4 linked regions of the Caenorhabditis elegans genome follow. The protein of the gene in region 2 purifies or fractionates together with the protein of the main gene of each other region. This does not show direct contact. Each region holds a gene or a part of one and is shown on either strand. Other genes may lie near its edges.

Region 1 (5,852 bases), on a different chromosome or scaffold from region 2:
ATGCTTGGTGTTTATTCCACAAAGTGCGAAAGGTGGTTCTTTGGCCGCGACCGACACTATTCGGGTCGTGGTGCAAGGCAGGCAGAGGTCGCCGCAAGGCGGGCGCGGCAGGCGTTCAGGCGCCTACAGGGAAGCCCTAGCAGGCTCAAAAACTTTTTGGAATCTGGTCACTGGTTTTCGTGAAGCTTCTATGTATACATGAGGTTTTCTAAAGTCTGGAAAACAGCAAAAAAGTGTAGAAAAGTACGTGGGAAAATGTCAATTTTTTCTGAGAAAAAGGAGTTTTAACAAAATGATCTAGACCAGAGGTGGGAAAATATTTGATAGTATGTTGCGAGACTGCGAATGATTTGAAAGTTCAACAAGTGTCTAAGTTGCTAAAATTATCAAAAACTTTTACAAAAGTTAAATTTGAAGAGCTAAATTTTAAGAATGACAAATTTGGCAACTTCCAAAGTTGCCGGAAACTTCAAAAACTGGTAGTTTATTCCAAAATAGCTATGTAGCACAAAATTTCAGGAGAAGATATTTATTGGGTTGTGCAAAATCGAATTATATTTGAAAAATGTAAACAAAAAGGTCACTTGTAAGAAAATCGAATTAATAAGCATTGGAAGCAGCAACTGGAGCCGGCGTGGCCGCTGGTGGAGCATCATTGGCGGCTCCCCAAGTTGGAGCAGCAGTTGGAGCACCTCCCCAGGTTGGTGGAGCAGCTGGAGCAGCTCCCCATGATGTTGATGGAGCAGCTGGAGCAGCTCCCCATGATGTTGATGGAGCAGTATTCTCGGATTGCCAGAGGTCAACGAGTGGCTGGGAGGCTGACATTGGTGGGGACTGAGCAGCTACTGGTTGTGGCTGGACGAAGGCGTTGGCGTTGTTGTTGTAGCCAGTTGGTGGGGATTGAGCAGCATTGTTGTTGTAGGATGGGTTCTGGAAGAAAATTGAATTGCATAATAAATTTTCCCTCAAAGTTTTGAAATATGAGCTTCAAAATAACCTAAAAAACATTGAAAAATATCAAAAACTGGCAAAGTTAGGGGTTTTCAGAAATTGAAAAAAAAATTTCTTAGGAAATTTTCTTTAAAACTCAGTGGTACATAGGCTAAATTATCGATTTTTTTTTTGCAAAATTCAATAAAATCCCGATGAAATTTTCAGTTTGAGAAGATTTTTGGAGAGAATTTCAAAATTTTTGGAAAATTCGTAGCTTTTTCAGTTTTTGAGAGTTTTTGGTGATTTTTGTGTCAAATTGAAGCTAAACTTTTATATTTTTTAGGAAAAAATAATTTTTAATTTAATATCGTCTTAGAAAGGTTCAAAAACATGAAAAATTCCTCTCAAATTCCTTATTTTTCGAATTTCAAAATTTTGAGATTTTTCGAAAATCCATAGCATTCTTAGTTTTTGAGACTTTTGGATAAGTTTTGTGGCAAATTGAATATAAATTTTAAAATTTTACAAAAATTCATGTTTGGAGTGATGTATTCAGTAAAATAGCTGAAAAAAGTAGGCCTAATGCCAAATTCTCAAACTTTGGAATTTTCTAAAATTTTTCAAAAATCCAAAACTTTTTCAGTTTTTGAGATTTTTTAGTGAATTTAGTGTTAAATTAAAGCGGAAGTTTCAATTTTTATGGAAAAAACTAGTCTGAACGCTGAAAAACCATATTTTCTTCAAAACTAGACGCTTGAACTCGTCATATGGCTTAAATTTAGGGCTTCAAACTTCGAAATTCGGAGATTTTTTGAACATTCTCAACTTTCTTAGTTTTCAAGATTTTCTAGAGATTTTTGGGCCAAATTAAAGCTGAATTGTTAAATGTTGTAGTGAAATTGTTTTAGTTATATAAAAACTAAATTGTGGTAAAAACCAAAAAGAAAGTCATTGGTCCAAAATTAAAAGTTTTGTTAATTCTGACAGAAATTTGAAAATCTATAACTTTTTCAGTGTATGAGATTTTTCAGTGATTTTTTTGCCAAATTTAAAGTAAATTTTGAAATTATTTAAAAAGGATTAATTTTAAATTTTCAAAAAATTTACTGTCTTCAAAACTAGACTTTTAGACTCGTAGGCCAAAATCTTCAAATATCGAAATTCCGCGGTTTTTTGAAAATTTATAACTTCCTCATTTTTCAACATTTTTTTTGTAATTTTTGAGCCAGATTAAAGCAAAATCACTGAATTCCCAACAAAAAAAAATAGTCCTTAAAATATTCCCCACCTGAGCAGCTGGAGAGGATCTTGGAGCACAGCACACGCACTTGACATTCTTATGATATTTCTTTGGCTCCCAGTTGGCCTCTGACAAGTAGGTAGAGTCAACCTTATGGAATCTTCCACGTCCATGTTTTCCGTCCTTCTCATCAGAATCCGAATCATTATCATCATCATCATCAGCTCCTCTCTTGGATCTCTTGAATGTCTCATCATCATCATCCTTGGTAATAGCCAAGAATCCGAAGAGTTGATCGTTGGGAAGGGAAGTGTCACGACGGGCGGTCTGTTGGCAGCAGAAGTTACAGGAATCTTCATCATGGGTAGCAACTTCGGAGCACTTTACACGAACGGCACGATTAGCTGGGACGGATGGGGCTCCACCGTAGTATGGCTGTGGGTGGCGATGATGGCGGCGGACAGAGTCGACGACGAGGAGCACGGAGGCGTCGAGGTCGCATACGAAGCCTGTAAATATTTTTCATCTTAAAATTCAAAATTTCAGCTTCAATTTAACTTAAAAACTGATAAAATATCTCAAAAACTGGAAAAGTTGTAGATTTTCGAAAATTTTAGAAAAAAACCATTTTAGTTAATTTGACAAAAAAAATTCCTGACTCAAATCAGTTTGTTCTACAGAATTTTAAAAAATTGGCTCTAATTTTACAATAAATTCAATAAAAAATCTCGAAAACTAAAAAAGTTATGAATTTTCGAAAATGTTCAAAAATCTATTATATAACTTTCTCAATTTTCGAGATATTGGGATGGTTTTTGTGGTATTTTGAGGGTAAATTTTTGAATTTTCAAGAAAAATTAGTTTTCGATAAAAATTGTCGAAAAAATTTAATAGCAATAAAATTTGACTCTTCCAAAAAAAAAAGTCCAAAATTTCAAAAATTTTTGAAAATCTATAACTTTCTCAATTTTTGAGATTTTGGGATGGTTTTTGTGTCATTTTAAGGGTAAATTTTTGAATTTTGTATAAAAAATAATGGAAGCTATCGTAACCTAGGAAAAGTGTGTTTTCTACCGAATTTCAATTTCTTTCAAAATATAAAATTTAAGCTTCAATTTGGCATTAAACTCAATGAAATTTTTTGAAAATTGTAGCTTTTTTGAAATTCTGCACCAACTAGATTAAATTTAATCTAAATAAATACTACAGTAACGCAGTTAATTTTGCCAAAAAATTTAAAAAAAATTAATCTTTAATTTGACATAAAAATCAAACAATTATCTCAAAAACTGGAAAAGTTACAGGTTTTCAAACATTTTCAAAAATTCTAATTCTGATAAATTGGCCTAAGTTCTACAGATTTTTTGAAAAAAAAAAACAGTATTTTTGCAACAAAATTTGAAGAACTAGCTTAATTTTGATTTAAAAATTATTGAAAAATCTCGAAAACTGAGAAATTTATGAATTTTTCAAAATTTTTCGAAAATTTGAAAATTGACAAAACTACCTATGAATAAGTCAATTTTTTGATGATTCCCAAAAAATGTTACATTTTTGAAATAAGTTGGCTATTGCGGTTCAAACAAGTATAATCATAACTAGGTCTACGCAAATGCGCTCTATTGCCAAATTACTATAGCTCTTAAAATTTGAATTTTCACGAACTCACGATCTTGAATAAGTGGCTGCCAGTATCCTGGTCCGAATGCTGGGTATCCATATCCTCCTCCATTTCCATAACCTCCTCCTCCATACGATGGACGACCGCCGTAGCGACCAGCAGCGGCCTCTGACTTGACCTCTTCGGTGGGTGTTGGCTGCAGAAAATGTTTCAGATTATCCTAAAATTGCGGAAATCCAAAAAAACCATATACCTTTGCACCGAGGACGGCGGCCAGCGAGGCGACTGTGAGAAGAAGAACGGTTTTCATTTCTGAAAAGCGATCGAATGATGGATTTGTCGGCGGAGCCATGCTTTTATAGTTCGGGGGGAACATGGGATGGGCTCCGCCTACAGAAAAAAAAATCAAGAGGAAAAGCTTGAGGAAGATGAAAGTAGAAATGTCTGAGTTGATGGAACGGGGAAAAAAGAGGAAACATTGAAAAGATGATCGATAGATTTGCACCATATCTCGGCTAATTTTCAAGATATCAAAAAAATTGTAACTAGACAGTTATAGAAAAAGTAATAATAAATAACTTGCCAGTTGATAATTTTTTGATAAAACCAAAGGCTACGAAGATATGAACTGTTAAAGTTGATCAGTAAATTTTTCATCGATGCACCAAAAAGAAGGGAATCTGAAGCATAAATAATGCATGTAAAACCTACTGCCAAAATTTTACAATAAAACTACTCTCAATGCACCATAATCAGCATTTTTGTTCAGCAGCTCGTATCCCTCTTATGTATTTTTATAAATATCAATTTATTACAAAACTTTGTAAAACTATGTAATGCATATTTTACGTGTTTGCAATTTGCTCATTGATATGTAAATTGTTGAAATTTTATTGGCAAATCCATAGAGAAATCCATTAGGAACACTATAAATCACTCCAAAGCTTTCAATTCACAAGGAAAGGAAGTCAATCTAGTCCCGGACTTTGAATCAGGACATATGCCTTTGAAAGCTTATGTTTAGACTAGATCACCAAAAAAATTTCAGCGGCGGAACTCAACTCTGAACCCCTGAAAGCGCCATCTGAAAGTGCTCCAGTGCATTTTTTTGCTGAATTCTAGGTCAAGTAAATGGCCTTAAAAGTGGCTAGAGCGGTTAAAAATTGTTTTTGGGGGTCTTTAGGGTCAAACAAACAGTGTGGAAGCTTTTTGGAAATTTTTATTTTTTTCCAAAAATCTGAAATTTTTGCGGTGATCTAGGCTAACCATAAGCTTTCAAATGACATACGTCTCGATTCGAAGTCCGGGACTAGATTAACTTACTTTCCTTGTCAGACAAATTTTTCACATAATACGTTAATTATCTATTTCATGCCCAAATTCCAGGTATTTGCACATTTCTCCATTCTCATTCAATTGCACTTTCACCCATCACGAGTTGCTCCATATGAAATCATCTGAAATGTCTGAAATTCCAAGCCCACTCAATCATCCCATTTCTCATATAACATGTTGCAATCAGGTGGGCGGCGGCTGCGGCCGGCAGGAAAAAGAGCCCAGCGGAATGTGTGATGGATTGAGCAGCGAAGAAAAAAGAAAATGGAAAAGCTGAAAAAAATAGTCGGTCGAAAAAAAAGTGACCTAAGGATGTGTTGCAACATGTGTCTGAGATCCAGCGGGGTTCAAAGAACTAATTTGTGTATCTTTTAGCAAAGTGTATTTTGAGAAAATCAACACATTTTGAACTAGAACACTGTAGAAAAACTGTTAAGGAACATTTTTCCAGTTGATCAAGTCCGAGTGATTCACCATGTATTGGAGCCTTTTGACTTGTTGGCTCAGTTACCACAGCTGTGAGATTTAATTCCAGGTTCCGTAGCAAACATTTTTGCGCTCCAAACCTTTTTGTTTTTTATCCAACGCCTAACGTTTTCCCCTCAAACTACAATGCCGAGTTCCCGCCTCCATATCTCTGGCGGATCTCAAGTATAAAAGCGGCGAAGCATCTTGGCTCCGATCATCATCATGTTTTCCACCACTTGGATCGTCGCGTCTCTG
Region 2 (3,427 bases):
TGTTTTTTTTTTCGAAAAGTAGACGAACATTCTGGCAGAGTATCGGAAAATTTTGGTTTCTAGGAAAAATTCTGAAATTTTCTTCAATCCGGAGTTTTTTTTAATTAAAAATTTTTCGAAAAAATTATACAGGTCTCCAAAGAAGTGCAAAAATGGCCTGAGATAGTTTTAGATCGATATTTTTGAAGTAGAGCTTTGCCGCTCAAAACTTTGCAGTAACATATTCTATGGAACATTATTAAATGACACCTGTCTCTTGCTTTGAAGTCTGACGGTGAAATGAAAACCTTTCCTTGTTAATAAAAACATTTTCATCTCAACAAAATTGCATTTATTTTTGATTCTGACCTGAAATATTTACCGAAAAAAGCTATTTCTTGAATTTTCTTGATTTCTTGCCTATTTCTGGACTCTGGAAAGATTTCCTCTCCCATCTCGTCTCCATAACAATTACCTGTCTTGAATCAACTGGTTTAAGTGAGTCAGCCAATATGCTTTCCTTATTTTTTTTCAAGACATATTATCTTTTTAGCTTCAATGTATTTTTTACAGACCTCAATCAAACGACGATGCAAGAAGGATGGAAGGATGGAAAAAGGAAGGAAAACATCCAAATTTGTAAGGAATTTTTTTTTGATTTTTTAACTAAACTGCAAATTTTTACAGATGCTGAAGGCTGTGATGAGACAAGATGATGGGCAATGAATGGAAGGATCAGGACGATTGCGATTGATGGATGGGGACAAGGGACGACGACGACGAAGAATCGGATAGGTGGATGGGTCGACGACGATCGGGATGGAACGGTTGGAACAGGATTCGGCGGAAAAAAACATGTAAGAAACATTCTCCTTTTAGCTTCAAGTAAAATGTAACTTTTTACAGATCTCAGGCTAACGACGATGATGGATGGTAGGAACGATGATGGTTGGTAGGAAGGATGGATGGGAAAAAGGAACGAAACAATCCTAATTTGTTAGGCATTTTTTAAATGCTTAAACTACAAGTTTTTAAAGATGCTGTAATGAAAGCTGTGATGAACCAAACCGCCGGCCAATGGATGGAAAGGTCAGGAAGATCGAGATAGATTCGGGATGGATCGGGACGAAATGACGACGACGACGACGGATGGACAAATGTTCCTTCTTGTGAGTGTTCTGAACCGGGTTCAAAAGTAACAGGCAAAAGCTGCATTTTCGGTTTCACTGCTATCACCTGAGTTGATTTGTCAAAAAACATAAATGCTTCCAGGAACAACATGGTGGACAATGGATGGAAGGATCAGGACGATCGGGATGGATGGCTTCGGGATGAATCAGGGCGACGACGACGACGCCGACGATGGATCGGATGGGTGGATAGATCGAAGACAATCGGGATGGATTGGTAAGTGATCCTCTCTCCTTTTAGCTTCAATTAACATGTAACTTTTTGAAGATCTCAAGCAATCGATAATGATTAAAGGATGGATGGTTGGAACAATGGAAATAGAAAATCCAAAGTGTAAGGAATTCGTTTGATGCTGCATCTAAACTGAAAACGTTTACAGATGCTGAAAGCTGTGATGGAACAAATTCTGGGCAGTGGATGGGATGGGCAAGACGATCACGATGGGTGGATTCGGGATGGATCGGGACGATGGACGACGACGACAAAGGATCGGATGGATGGATGGATCGACGACGATCGGAATGGATAGTTCCGGGACAGGTCGAGATGGAGATGGACAGCTGACATGTAACCTTTTACAGATCTCTAGCAAACGAAGAAGGATGGATGGTAGGTCATTTAAACTAAGAACTTTTACAGATGTTGAAAGCTGTGATTGAACAAATTCTGGACTGGACATGGACTGGAATGGGCAGGCCGATCAGGATGAATGGATCGGGACGAGACGACGACGACGACAAACAATAAGGATGGGTGGATGGATTTGGACGATCGAAAGGGATTTGGGACAAAACGACGACGACAAAGGATGAACAAATTCGGGGCGGATCGGGAGTAAGTGAATCCATCTTGCTCCTTCTTGTGAGTGTAGCGTCCCCATTACGTTTACCTGGCTTGAACTGAACTGGTTTGCTTGAATCTGTCACTGTCCAATTTCTGAACCGGGTTCAAAGTAGCAGGCAAGGGCTGCATTTTCGGATTCACTGCTACCCCCCTGAGTTGATTTGTTTGGAAACAAACAAATCTTGTACCGTACTCAGAGGCAGTGAAACTGATTAATCTCTTAATGGGAAATGCGAACTCCTGCGAAAAAAGAACAAGGAGACTGGAAATAGCGTCAAACAGACGAGGCTTATCGGACGGTTCTTGTCACATAGGTAAACTGTAATGGGTGATGCTGCACAGTTCTAACGGTACAGAACATCACTTGAAGTTGCATGAATGGATTCGATCGATGGATGGATGGACGAGGCAACAACGACGACGAACGATTAGGATGGATGGATGGAAGGATCGATCGAGAGAGATGATGGCTTCGGGATGGATCGGAACGATGGACGACGACGACGATGGGTCGGATGGGTGAATGGATCTACGACGATCGGGATGGACTGGTAAGTGATCTTTTCTTCATTTAGCTTCAACTAGAATGCAACTTTTTACAGATCAAGCAAACAATAAAGGATGGATGGTAGGAAGGAAGGATGGATGGAAATAAGACAGGATATAATCCAAACTTGTAAGGAATTTGTTTGATGTTTTGATGACAAGTACTAAACTTCAAGTTTTTACAGATGCTGAAAACTGTTTTGCAACAATATGGTGGAGGGATCAGGACGTTCGGGATGGATGGCTTCGGGATGGATCGGGACGATGGACGACGACGACTTTCTAATTTTTTATTTTCTGTTTTGATCATTTTTTTTTTCGATTTAATAAAAGTGAACGAATTTAACGAATTTGCCGTTTGCCGAATTAGCCGGGTTGTGTTTCCGCGTTTTCGCCGGTTCAGTTTTTTTTTTCAGATTTTAAAAATTCCATAGTTTTAAAATTTTCAAGTTTTCAAATTTGAAAAAAATCCTAAAATTCCAAAATTCCGAAATTCCAAAATTCCAAAAATTCCAAAATTCCAAAAATCCGAAAAATCCGAATTACAGAAAATTCCAAAAATTCAAAAAAATTCCAAAATTCCAAAATTCCGAAAGTTTCAAAATTCCGAAATTCCAAAAAATCCGAAACCGAAAAAACCGAAAAAATCCGTTTTTGGAATTTTGGACAAAAAACTGAATCGTTTTTGGAAGTTTGGAAGGGTAAAAAAGGACGAGCATAATGTCTTATAAAGTGGCCGTCTTGGAAGCGAGGGTCGGATACGGTAAGACGATACTTTTCAGAACAACCGTGTTTCAGGTTTTAGTCTAGATTCTAGAGTTATAAACCTCGACTTCGAATCATACTTGTAGAGACGGGTCCGCACAAG
Region 3 (6,598 bases), on a different chromosome or scaffold from region 2:
AAAAAGGGCGAAACCAAAATGTTGAAACTCTTCTAAAATGGTTAATTTTATAGCTAGGCGACTCAAAATTTATCTCCAAACAATAAAAAATTGCCTTTTTTCAGAATATAGTGGTTTTGCACACTTTGAGAAAAATTATTTTTTTGCCCAAAATAAAAGAAAAAGGACAGTCATTAGATGGCCGAAAAAAAATTTTCAGAAAATCTAGGTATAACCCATCAAAAACTATTAAAAAATGGCAAAAATGGGCAATTTATGGCAAAAATTCACAACTTTGAAACACATCTAAAATGGGCAATTTTGAAGTTAGATGACTCTAAATTGATCTATAAAGACTAAAAAATTGTCCATTATCAGAATATAGTGGCTTTGAACATTTTCAGAAAACTTTTTTTTTTGCCCAAAATAAAAAAAGGACAGTCATTAGATGGCTGAAAAAAAATTGGGCAAAAATCAAAAGGTGAAAACGGGTAATTCATACACGCTGAATTCAGAAAATCTAGGTTTAACCCAAAAAAAAACTATTTAAAAGTGCCAAAAATGGTCAAAGCTTTTATTTTCCGATACAAAATTTGCTAAAAATTCCATCTAGAACACTTTCAGTGACAATTCCCTCGGTGAGCTCTCCGATTTGTTCCAAGGCAACTTCCAGATGTGAACACATGATTGCTGCGTCGTTACACGTTACAGCTGACTCCAATTCGAATGAGCATCTTCTGAAATTAAAACAACTTTGAATATTATTTTTTGACAAAAAAAAACCTTAACAGATCTGCATCTAGTAAATAACTTGCTTCAGGACACAGATCATCTACAATTTCTCCCAAACAGTTTTGAAGTTGTTTGCAGCCAGTATCTGTGGTAGCATTTGTAGATACAGTAGTGAAATTTGAGGGAAGTTTTGGATACTTCAGACTCAGATCAGACTTATTCTTTGCAATAATCACACGAGCTTCGCGATTTCGCATCACTTCCACGTCATTCAAAATCGATTCAACATCGTCATCCGACGTGAATTGTGGATCCACGACAACGCAGATAATGTCAGCTGATTGGATTCGTTTTTGAGCACGTCGAATACCTTCTGCCTCAATGACGTCATTAGTTTTTTGTCGAACTCCAGCAGTGTCTGTGAGACGGCATCGAACTCCGTTAATTTGAATGATTGTCTGTAAGATTTTCAATTAATGTTTGGAACATTTTCCAGGCACTCTAGGAGTACTGTAGGATTACCGTAGTTTTCGAAAAATTGACTTTTCGTCTTTTGAGCTACAAAATTGCCCGTTTTAGAGAAGATTCAAAATTGTGAATTTTTGCTATAAATTGGCCATTTTTGCCACTTTTTAATAGTTTTTGACGGGTTAAACCTAGATTTTCTGAATTCAACATACATAAATTACCCGTTTTCAACAAATTTAGACAACTTTTTATTTTTGCCCAAATTATTTTCAGCCATCTAATGACTGTCCTTTTTTTTTATTTTGGGCAAAAAAATAATTTTTCTGAAAATGTTTAAAACTACTATATTCTGAAAAAGGTCAATTTTTTTATAATCCTAAATCAATTTTGAGTCCTCTAGCTACAAAATTGCCCATTTTAGAGAAGATTCAAAATTGTGAATTTTTGCCATAAATCTGCCATTTTTGCCACTTTTTAAAAGTTTTTGACGGGTTAAACCTAGATTTTCTGAATTCAACATACATAAATTACCCGTTTTCAACAAATTTAGACAACTTTTTATTTTTGCCCAAACTATTTTCAGCCATCTAATGACTATCCTTTTTTTATTTTGGGCAAAAAAATAATTTCCCTAAAAATGTTCAAAACTATTATATTCTTAAAAAGGAAAATTTTTTTAATGTTTGCAGATCAATTTTGAGTCCTCTAGCTACAAAATTGCCCATTTTAGAAGAGTTTCAAAATTGTGAATTTTTACAAAAAATTGGAATTTTTGCCACTTTTTAAATTTCAAAATTGTGTGTTTTAGAGGAGTTTCAAAATTGATTGTTCAAGGGAACGTGGCTAGGGTACTGTAGTAGTACTGTAGGGAATACTGTAGGATTACTGTAGGGTTACTGTAGTTGGAGAAAAACTGGTTTTTCGTATTTTGAAGGGTTATTAGTTTGGTGTTAATAGGGGGATATGATTGGAGTACTGTAGTAGTATTGTAGGGAATACTGTAGGATTACTGTAGTTTTGGAAAAACTGATTTTAGTTTCAGAAAAAAAAATCGCAAAAGAAAATTTGATTGAAATTTTTTGGTTAATTTTTGAAAAATTTGAAAAATTTTAACACTTCAATAGGTTTATATGATCATTTTTACTTCCAAACTATCTCTCGTGGTTCCAGGAATCGAGCTAACAATTGCCACGTCATCATGCGCTAACTGATTTAAAATGCTTGATTTTCCGGAATTCGGTCTTCCATAGAGCACAATATCCAATCCACGTTGAGCCCGTTCTGCACCATCCCACGCTTTGATCATTCGATTGAGTTCATGAAGAATTTCAGAGACATCTTGTTGAGCTTCGCGTAATTCCAAGTTCACGTGTTCTCCAAAATCAATGATCACAAATAGTTTCGATAGAATTTGAATTAATTGCTTCCTGAAATTGAGAGTAAATGTCAGGGGTATGCGGCACGAAGTTTTTGTCGACAAATTCAGCAAATTGGCAAATTGCCGGTTTGCCGAAAATTTCAATTCCGGCAATTTTCCGATTTGCCGGAAATTTCCAATTCCGGCAAATTGTCGATTTATCGGTAATTTCAATTCCGGCAAGTTGCCGATTTCCCGGAAATTTCCATTCCAGAAATTTGTCGATTTGCCGGAAATTTCAATTCCAGCAATTTGCCGATTTGCCGGAAATTTCAATTCCAGCAATTTGCCGATTTGCCGGAAATTTCAATTCCAGCAATTTGCCGATTTGCCGGAAATTTCAATTCCAGCAATTTGCCGATTTGCCGGAAATTTCAATTCCAGCAATTTGCCGATTTGCCGGAAATTTCAATTCCAGCAATTTGCCGATTTGCCGGAAATTTCAATTCCAGCAATTTGCCGATTTGCCGGAAATTTCAATTCCAGCAATTTGCCGATTTGCCGGAAATTTCAATTCCAGCAATTTGCCGATTTGTCGGAAATTTCAATTCCAGCAATTTGCCGATTTGCCGGAAATTTCAATTCCAGCAATTTGCCGATTTGCCGGAAATTTCAATTCCAGCAATTTGCCGATTTGCCGGAAATTTCAATTCCAGCAATTTGCCGATTTGCCGGAAATTTCAATTCCAGCAATTTGCCGATTTGCCGGAAATTTCAATTCCAGCAATTTGCCGATTTGCCGGAAATTTCAATTCCAGCAATTTGCCGATTTGCCGGAAATTTCAATTCCAGCAATTTTCTGATTCGCCGGAAGTTTTCAATACCGACAAATTGTCGATTTGCCGGACATTTCTATTCCGGCAATTTGAAAAAATGTATTATTGAAAAGCTCGTACGATATCATAAGTTTTAATGAAATTTTTAAAAATCCCTATAAATCTTTTTTTTTCCTTTTTTTTTTAAGTTTTTTTTTCCAAAAATTCCAAATCTCGAGGGATTTTTTTGTTTTTTCAAATTGCTTGCGAACAATATAAAATTCCAATTTTTCTCACTTCAATACCTTATTTCAATAGCTCGAACTCCACCACGCATTTGACCAAATGCCGCATTTCGTTCTTTTTCGGTTCGAGATTTAATTAGCCGATCGATTCCTCGAACCTCGGAAATGCTCAATTTTCCGTTGTGAAATGCTCTGTAAATTAACTAAGAGTTATTATAGAGACCCAAAATGTGCATTTAAATGCATTCAAAATATTTTGAAACAGATGTGCAAGCGCGCTCAACTGCGGAAAGTTTGGAATTTTTATTCGGCGGCAAAACCAAAAACTCTAATGTTATTTTGTTTTCATGGTTAAATGAAAAATTAAAGCACTTTTGGACATTTTTTCAACATAAAATTAATTAATAAACGACAGGAAACATAACAAAAATAACGAAAACTTATTGAAAACGTTCGAAATTACGGTTTTGCAGCAGCCAAAACCTAGCGAGACCCAACTTTTAGCCGTGGAGCGCGTTTTAACCAGGGGTGGACGGCAAACAATTTTTCCGGCAAATTGGCAAATCGGCAAATCAGCAAATTGTCGGAATTGAAATTTCCGGCAAATCGGCAAATTGCCGGAATCGCCGAATTTGTCGAAAAAAATTTGCCGAACGGCAATTGCTGCCCATCCCTGGTTTGAACCCCGATTTTTGAAAATCGTATGCTAATAATAACCTCCTCGTGAATTCTCCTCGCTTCGCTTCTCGAACATTTTGAATTCCAGCCAAACATGAGGCAAACTTCACGGCCACGGCCTGACTTCCATGTAGAAAAAACTCGGCTGTGTCTTCTCCGGTAAACGTTTTCGGGCCGGGAAGATATACCGCCATTGCTTCATCGATGATTTTGCTCTCTGAATCGTACAATTTCGTGTATTTCATCGTTTTCGGCTTCCAAACTTTTCGACGGCTCAGCTGGCGGAGTACGGGGAGGCTTTGTGATCCTGGAAAAAATACTGTGAATACTGTGAACAGTAAGCTCAGAAAGCCTTTTTTTGGGGGGGGGGGGGGTTTCGCAAGAGCATCGTACGAATTTTTTCAGAGATTTTTATATTGTTTATGGCTATTTTGGCAGAAATTTTTTCAAAATGAACCATTCGTAACCTAATGGAATTTTTTTTTTCAATTGTTCTGAAAATTAACCTGAAACGCGGAACATCGCAATTGCGCTTGGCAATGTGCCAGACGATAGGGCGAAGATTGTCGACATTTTCTAAATGCCTGAAAAAATTATTCTTTTCCAATTAAAAAAAAATTTGATTACTCGAAAGGTTCTTTTTTTTAATTTCAAAATTTTCACGATCTTAAAAAAATGTTTGAAAATTTAATAAAAAACAGGATCCGTGACAATTTTTCTGGAAAGAAACCGAGATTTTATGAATATATAACTTAAATTTGAGAGAAAAAAGTTATTTATTAAGCATTCAAAAAAAACCCCGTAATTCGATATAATTCAAAACTAAAACAATTAATTATTAATTACACAAAATCTTAATTTCAATTGCTCTTCACATTTCTTCAAATCAGGAATAATCCATTTCGAATCACTCAAATACTTTAAAATCGTTGGTGGCAGAGGAGCTGTTTTGGGTGTCGGTGGTTTTTGTTGACTCGTTTTCAGGGTAAATCGACAGAGGTACTGTAGTGATGGTAGAAGCTCTCGTTTTGTGAGTGGACGTGTTAAATTGACACGCGCTGCTTCGGCTTCATGTCCACGTCGATAGTGGAGCATTTCTTGTTGTCCTGTTAGGGATTGCTGAAAAAAGTTTAGTGTTTTTTTCCGAAAAACTACGATTTTTTTTGATTTTTGAAACATTAAATTATTTTTTTGCTTGAAAAACTCAGTTTTTTTCGGATTTTTGAAAAAAAAACTAATTTCTGAAAAAACTGAACTATTTTCTTTCGGGAATGTGGTTTTTTTTGTGAACAAAAATGGTGATTTTTTAATTTTTTTCTGCAAAAAAGTGAATTTTTTTTAGAACAATCGATTATTTTTCTCGTGATTTTTTTTTGGTTTTTCGAAAAAAAAAGGATTTTTTCTCGATTTTATGAAAAAAAATGGTTGTATTGTGTTTGATTTGTTTTTCAATTTTAATTTTTAAAATTATGTTCCGAAAAATTTTTTTTTGATTAATACTCTTTTTTAATTTCTAATTTTGAGAAAAAAAGGACATACTTTCGGAAAATTTGAATTTTTTTAGTTTTCGAATTTTTTAAAAAGAAAAATAATTATTTTCACTTAAAAAAAATAGTTTTTTTCCGTTTTTCGGAAAAATAATTTGCTTTTAAAAAAATATATTTTCGATTTCCGGAAACATTTTGGGAAAATTTCGATTTTTTTTAACTCTTCGAAAAATATTTTCGACCTTTTTGGCCTGTCACAATTTTTTTTTAAAGTTTTACTCTTTTCCGATTTTTTTAAAATCAAAAATCATAGATATTTTTAAATGTACTACATACCTCTAAACTTCTCTCAATAATTTCCACAAGATTCCAATAGTCACGTGAGACGTATGGCTGCCGACTACCCAAATTCCGTCGTGAATCTTCAAGTGACAAGCGCGAATGATAGACTCTATCTGAAATTATATTTATTTGGAAAAAATTGATTTTTTGAAAAACAATACCTTGAAAATGATAAGAAACAGTGAAAAGATGAGTTTCACTTCGACTGTCTCGAATTAAAAAATATCCGATTGGGCACAAAAGGAGCAGCCGTTCTGCCCATTTCCAGTCCAAATCTCCCCAATACCTGGAATAAAATAGGCATATTTAAATCTTTTTTCAGTTATTTTATTGTTTACCAATCACAATCGTAAAGATCAGAACAAATCACCTTGTTGGAGGGCATAGGAGCATTGAAGGAAACTTTTGTTACTGAAAATAGTTTCAATCTTAACAAAATTAATTGAATTTTAAAATTGAAGATTGTCGATTTACGGAAGTCGTGTACTCCACGAG
Region 4 (5,943 bases), on a different chromosome or scaffold from region 2:
AATTTTTATGTTTTAATTGGCATTTTTCATAAAATAAACGTTTAATTACAATTTTTAAAGTGTTTCTGTAAAAAAAATGAGCAAATTCTGACAAATATAGCCTAAAACCATGAGAGGGACACTTATGGGACACCTATGGGACATTCGGGGACACCAGGGGACATTTTAAACAATAAAAATGTAAAATTCGTGTTCTTCATAAAATTTGCAAAATTTTAACACCCATATTGATTATACTCTGAACATTTGGACGTTTTGGCCAAAAAACGGCCCAGAACGGCCTGAAACTGGCCCGAAACTCAAAATTTATTGAAAAATAGATTTTCTTCACCTAAAACTTCAAGATAATTTTCAGCCTTTTGATTTAACTTGCATAACAATGAAATGTTGAATTTCAGGCCAATTTCAGGCCATTTCAGGCCGTTCTAGACTTGAAATATGAGCACCACGAATTTAGGTCAAGGTAAGTGTAGAAATTTTGCAGTAATAAGAAAAACCTAAAAGTGAAAACGCAGTTCCAGAAAATCTAGAAATTCAGGCCTGAAACGGCCTGAAACGGCCCGAATCGGTCCAAATCATTTCGACAAGCCCAGTTTCTTGAAATATAGCCGATGTAAATGTCAAATCCATAAAAATGATATAAAAAATATTGCCATGTACATTAAAAAAAAAATTTTTTTTGGAAAAATATTTGAACCGTTCAAAATTAAACCATTTTTCATGTTTTAATTTGCAATATAAACGCTTAACTACATCTATGCAAGTGTTTCTGTAAAAAAAGAGCAACTTCTGACAAATATAGCCTGAAAACCACGAGTGGGACACTTATGGGACACCTATGGGACATTCGGGGACACCCGGTAAAATTTTGAGAAATATGAACTCAAAATTCGTGTTCTTCATGAAATTTGCCTAGTTTTGAAACCCATATTGGCTATGTTCTACAAACTTTGAAATTTTGGGCAAAAAACGGCCCGGAGCCTGAAAATGGCCTGAAATACAAAACTTTCCTTTAAATAACTTTTATTTCACAGTTTCAAATTTTTCAAAAACGTTTGCTGAAATTATCGACATATACCCGTCAATATTTGTTTTCAAGCCTAGAACGGCCTGAACTGTCCTAAAACTGGTCTGAAATTCAATTTTCCGCAAACATAACCAATTTAGTAGTTCCTTATACAAGTTGGCAAATTACTACAAACGCACTGGCATTAAACTGAGTGTATTGATATTTGGGCTCCAAAAAGCCCGAAACGGCCTAAAACTGGTCTGAAATTCAAATTTCCTCGAATATAGCCAATATGGGGGTCAAATAAACGGAAATTTTATGAAGATTCCAAATTTTCATGTAACAAGGCTTGAAAAAAATCAAAATTTTCAATAACTTGCTCATAAATTAATTTTTCAACCCCCTGTCAACACCAAAAATCTATAAAAGAACCCCAACAAATTCGATGTCGAAATGTGCAGAATCACCCCGATCTTTCCAACTTTTTCCCCCGAAAAAGTGGAAAATTTTACGATTTCGGCCATAAAACTCGGAAGCTTAAAAGCCAACCGTAGCCCGAGGCAATCAAAATTTCGCCGCGAAAATGCAAGTTTTCGTGATTTTCCTGGTGGTTCTACCCATTTCAGGGGTAGTTTCCATCAATATTACAGAACCCGAATTTTTTGAAATTAATATCGATCGGGACCATCCGGAGAAGCTCTACAAGGCTTTTGAGGATTTTAAAAAAAAGTGAGTTTTTTTAATAACGAAAACTTGGCCCAAACTTCAAAATTTTGAAAAATCAATTAAAAATTCGGATTCCCCATAGCAAATAACCCCTACGCCTGAGTTTTCAGAATTTTAGTGCAAAATCCCGTCAAATCGGGTGCCGGGTACGCAAACACCAGGCTACAGTAACCCAAAACACCGGATTTGACGACATTTCGCACGAAATTGTTGAAAAATAGGGTGCAGGGGTAATTTTGGGTGGAGAATTCGAATTTTTACATAATTTTTCAAAAAAAAAATGGTTTTGAAGTGTTGAAATTTCGATTTTCAGAAATAATTGAACATTTCTATTAAAATTTTTCAGAAATCTTATTGTTGCCGTTTTAAGCCACTTTTGAGAAAAAAAACATAATTTTTCACAGGTACAACCGAAAATACAAGGACGAGTCGGAGAATCAGCAGAGATTCAATAATTTCGTAAAATCCTACAACAATGTCGATAAGTAAGTGAAAAAAAACATGGCCCAAACTTCAGAATTTTCAAATTTCGAGTCGAAATTCGGATTCTACGTAGCAAATAACCACTAACCCCGTTTTTCAAAAATTTAGCGCAAAATTCCGTCAAATTGGGTGTAAGGTCCACAAACACTAGGCTACAGTAACCAAAAACACCAGATTTGACGCAAAATTGCACTAAAGCGTTGAAAATTTCGGGACAGGGGTAATTTGAGGCGTAGATTTCGAATTTCATAATGAAAATGTTTTAAATTTGAGTTTAAAAATGAAATTTTTGAATAAAAAATTTCGAAAAAAAATTTCAAAAAAATTTTTTTTTTTCGGTTTTTTTTCAATTTTTTTCAGATTAAACGCAAAGTCAAAAGCAGCCGGATATGACACCCAATTTGGCATTAACAAGTTTTCTGACCTATCCACCGCCGAATTCCACGGCCGTTTGTCCAATGTAGTGCCCAGCAACAATACAGGGCTCCCAATGCTCAACTTCGACAAGAAAAAACCGGATTTTCGCGCGGCCGACATGAATAAAACACGCCATAAGCGTAGATCAACACGCTATCCAGACTATTTCGACTTGAGAAACGAGAAAATCAACGGGCGATACATTGTGGGCCCGATCAAGGATCAGGGGCAATGTGCGTGTTGCTGGGGATTCGCGGTCACCGCACTGGTGGAGACTGTGTATGCAGCACATTCTGGAAAGTTTAAGGTAAAAATAAAACAATTATTTGAAAAATTTGAATGAAAACTGTGAAAGTTCGAGGAAAATCGGTGAAAAATTGGCGTGAAAACTCGAATTTTTCGATTTTTTTTTGAAAACAGAAAACATTGCCGTTGGAGCGCATTTACACCCTCTAGCCTGAAATTTAATTCTATTTTTCTGTAAATATATCGTAGATCACATTTTTTGCTATGTTTTCCATTTTGAAAAATGGCAAAGTTACGTTAGTTTCAAGTGTTTAAAGCGAAGTTGAACGAATTTTCAGTAGGTTCTCAGCGGAGTGCGTTTACTGCTTTTACACTAAATTTTATTAGACTTTGACTATTTTAATATTAAACTTTGCAAAAATTGGTATTGTACACGTTTTTTAAATTTGGAAAATCTTGAAAATTGGCCAAATTACGGATGTTTCAAATTTTCTAGTCAAAATACACAGAGTTTTGAGGAGTTCTCATTGGAGCGCATTTACAACCCCTAAACTAACTTTTCTCTTATTTTTTTGTGCATAGTTAATGTAGATCACATGTTTCTCTACTAGTTTCTTTTGGAAAAATAAGAAAATCTTGAAAACTGGCCAAGATACGATTTTTCACAAATTTGGGTCAAAAAATGAGAAATTTTGAAATATTCTTATTGAAACGCATTGGCAAGCCCAAAACTAATTTTTTTTTTCAAATTTTCAATGTATTTAGTGTAGATCACATGTTATTTCACTAGTTTCTTTTTTAAAAATAAGAAAATCTTGAAAATTGACCTATTTACGGATGTTTCAAATTTTCTAGTCAAAATCAACAGAATTTGTAAGAATTCTCATTGGAGCGCATTTACAACCTCAAAACTGACATTTTTTCATGATTGACTACTACAAATATAGCAGATCATATAATTAGGCGCAATTTTCAGTTTGAAACTAAAAAAAATCTTAAAAATTGGCAAAGTTACGGTAGTTTCAAATTTTTCAGTTAAACTTGGCAGAATTTCAGAATTTCACTGAATTTTTGAATTTCTATGTAAATTTTTGAATATTTTCAGTCCCTATCTGACCAAGAGGTTTGTGATTGCGGTACGGAAGGAACACCGGGATGTAAGGGAGGAAGCTTGACCCTCGGAGTCCAGTACGTCAAGAAATATGGGCTTTCTGGAGATGAAGACTATCCTTACGATCAAAATCGGGCTAACCAGGGCAGAAGATGTCGTTTAAGAGAAACTGACAGAATTGTGCCGGCTGTGAGTTGGAAATTTGAAAATTTGAAAAAATTCCAAAAAAAAAAATTTTTTTTTCAAAAATTTTTTTTTCAAAATTTTTACTTTTTTTAGAATCAAATTTTTTAATTTTCTACCAAATTTTGTTCAGAGAGCCTTCAACTTTGCCGTAATCAACCCACGCCGAGCCGAAGAACAAATCATCCAGGTGCTCACCGAGTGGAAGGTCCCAGTAGCTGTCTGTAAGTCGGCGGGACCAACTGGGGGACATGGGACATCCGGGAGTTTTGAAATTATTAAATTCAAAATCTCCTAAAAATTTGCAAAGTTTTGACATCCATATTGGCTATATTTGGAGAAATTTGAAATTTGGGCCTGAAACGGCCTAAAATTGGCCTAAAATCGGCCTGAAACTCAAAATTTTCAGTCTATAGCCCATGTTAGTGTACCAAAAAAAAATTTCAATTAAAAGCCAAGTATTTTGGCTATATTTCAGTAAATTATATTTTAAGACCTGTTTCAGGCCTATTTCGGCCTGAAATCGGCTCAATACTCAAAATTCTTTTGTTTTGGTGTCACAATTTTACCATTCAATTGAAAACTTGAAAATATTTGGAACATTTCATTTCAAGGCCAATTTTACCCTAAACCGGCCTAAAACCGGCCCGAAACTCGAAATTTGCCGATCGAAATCGATGTCGGTGCCAAAATTTTGAAAATTAAATAACCAACTCAAAAGTTTTGCTGAATATGAAGTACTTTCTTTTCAGGCCTGTTTTGGCCTAGAATCGGCCTGAAATTGGCCCAAAACCCAAACTTATCGAAATATAGTCGATATGGGTGTTAAAATTTTGCAAATTTAACGTGTAATTCAAAAATCTAGCTGAAAACCTGCAGAAACTCCAAGTTTTTCGAAAAAACTCGAAATTAAAAAAAAAAATTCCAGATTTCAAAGTCGGCGATCAATTCAAAGAATATAAAGAAGGAGTGATCATTGAGGACGATTGTAGAAGAGCTACTCAATGGCATGCCGGAGCAATTGTGGGTTACGATACCGTTGAGGATAGCCGTGGAAGAAGTCACGACTACTGGATTATCAAGAACTCCTGGGGAGGCGATTGGGCTGAGTCGGGATATGTTCGAGTGGTCAGGGGTAGGGATTGGTGCTCAATTGAGGATCAACCAATGACTGGAGACATCAAAGATCATAAAGATAACTATTACTATTAATTTATTTTTCTCACTTCTTTTTGTTAAAAAAATGAAAAATAATTATTTTTTTCGAAAATTTGTTTCTTCAAATTTCACAAAAACTCTTCAATTTTAAGCTGTTTTACTTAAAAAATTGAATTCTACGCAAAAAATGTGTTGATTTAACACCCATATCGACTATATTCGAAAAACTTGAACTTCAGGCCGTTTCAGGCCATTTCAGGCCATTTCAGGCCCAAAATTTCAAAAAGTTGCTTTGTGCCTTGCTTTTACCAGCAGTTGGTGATCTTCAACGTGGAATCCGATTGAGGAGGCAATTTTGGGAAATAATCAGCTTATTGGCTGAAATTTCTAAAATTTAAACCGAAAACTTGGCCCAAATCTGGGAATTTCGAAAAATTAAGCTCAAATTCGAACTCCGCGTGGTAAATTACCCCCTACCCACAATTTTCAGAATTTTTGTGCAAAATCCCGTCAAATCTGGTGCCAAGTTCGCAAACACCACGCTACAGTAACCCAAAACACCCGATTTGACGACATTTTGCACTAGAGCTCTGAAAATCCGGGTTCAGGG

What was found.
Region 1: the proteins of R09A8.9 (region 2) and perm-4 fractionate together in Caenorhabditis elegans (co-fractionation; one large-scale study listed by BioGRID). This does not show direct contact.
Region 3: the proteins of R09A8.9 (region 2) and mtcu-1 fractionate together in Caenorhabditis elegans (co-fractionation; one large-scale study listed by BioGRID). This does not show direct contact.
Region 4: the proteins of R09A8.9 (region 2) and Y51A2D.8 fractionate together in Caenorhabditis elegans (co-fractionation; one large-scale study listed by BioGRID). This does not show direct contact.

The regions. Positions count from the first base shown.
Region 1 is NC_003282.8:1,120,982-1,126,833, forward strand, and holds perm-4 (PERMeable eggshell), read right to left. Parts: upstream 4,127-5,852; 5' UTR 4,105-4,126; coding exon 4,048-4,104; intron 3,991-4,047; coding exon 3,843-3,990; intron 2,683-3,842; coding exon 2,222-2,682; intron 931-2,221; coding exon 601-930; 3' UTR 513-600; downstream 1-512. Other genes in the region: perm-2 (uncharacterized protein), read left to right, coding at 5,820-5,852.
Region 2 is NC_003284.9:12,602,327-12,605,753, forward strand, and holds R09A8.9 (GH10 domain-containing protein), read left to right. Parts: upstream 1-1,734; 5' UTR 1,735-1,737; intron 1,738-1,809; 5' UTR 1,810-2,564; intron 2,565-2,615; 5' UTR 2,616-2,634; coding exon 2,635-2,689; intron 2,690-2,744; coding exon 2,745-2,845; 3' UTR 2,846-2,905; downstream 2,906-3,427. Other genes in the region: T24D5.6 (uncharacterized protein), read left to right, coding at 1,296-1,386, 1,438-1,503, 1,550-1,734.
Region 3 is NC_003279.8:14,770,150-14,776,747, forward strand, and holds mtcu-1 (TrmE-type G domain-containing protein), read right to left. Parts: upstream 4,859-6,598; 5' UTR 4,848-4,858; coding exon 4,781-4,847; intron 4,582-4,780; coding exon 4,314-4,581; intron 3,789-4,313; coding exon 3,657-3,788; intron 2,607-3,656; coding exon 2,324-2,606; intron 1,170-2,323; coding exon 763-1,169; intron 717-762; coding exon 554-716; 3' UTR 540-553; downstream 1-539. Other genes in the region: F39B2.5 (SH2 domain-containing protein), read right to left, coding at 5,106-5,393, 6,098-6,216, 6,265-6,389, 6,442-6,488.
Region 4 is NC_003283.11:18,549,496-18,555,438, reverse strand, and holds Y51A2D.8 (Cysteine proteinase), read left to right. Parts: upstream 1-1,588; 5' UTR 1,589-1,592; coding exon 1,593-1,738; intron 1,739-2,139; coding exon 2,140-2,220; intron 2,221-2,578; coding exon 2,579-2,942; intron 2,943-3,986; coding exon 3,987-4,181; intron 4,182-4,308; coding exon 4,309-4,399; intron 4,400-5,103; coding exon 5,104-5,387; 3' UTR 5,388-5,436; downstream 5,437-5,943.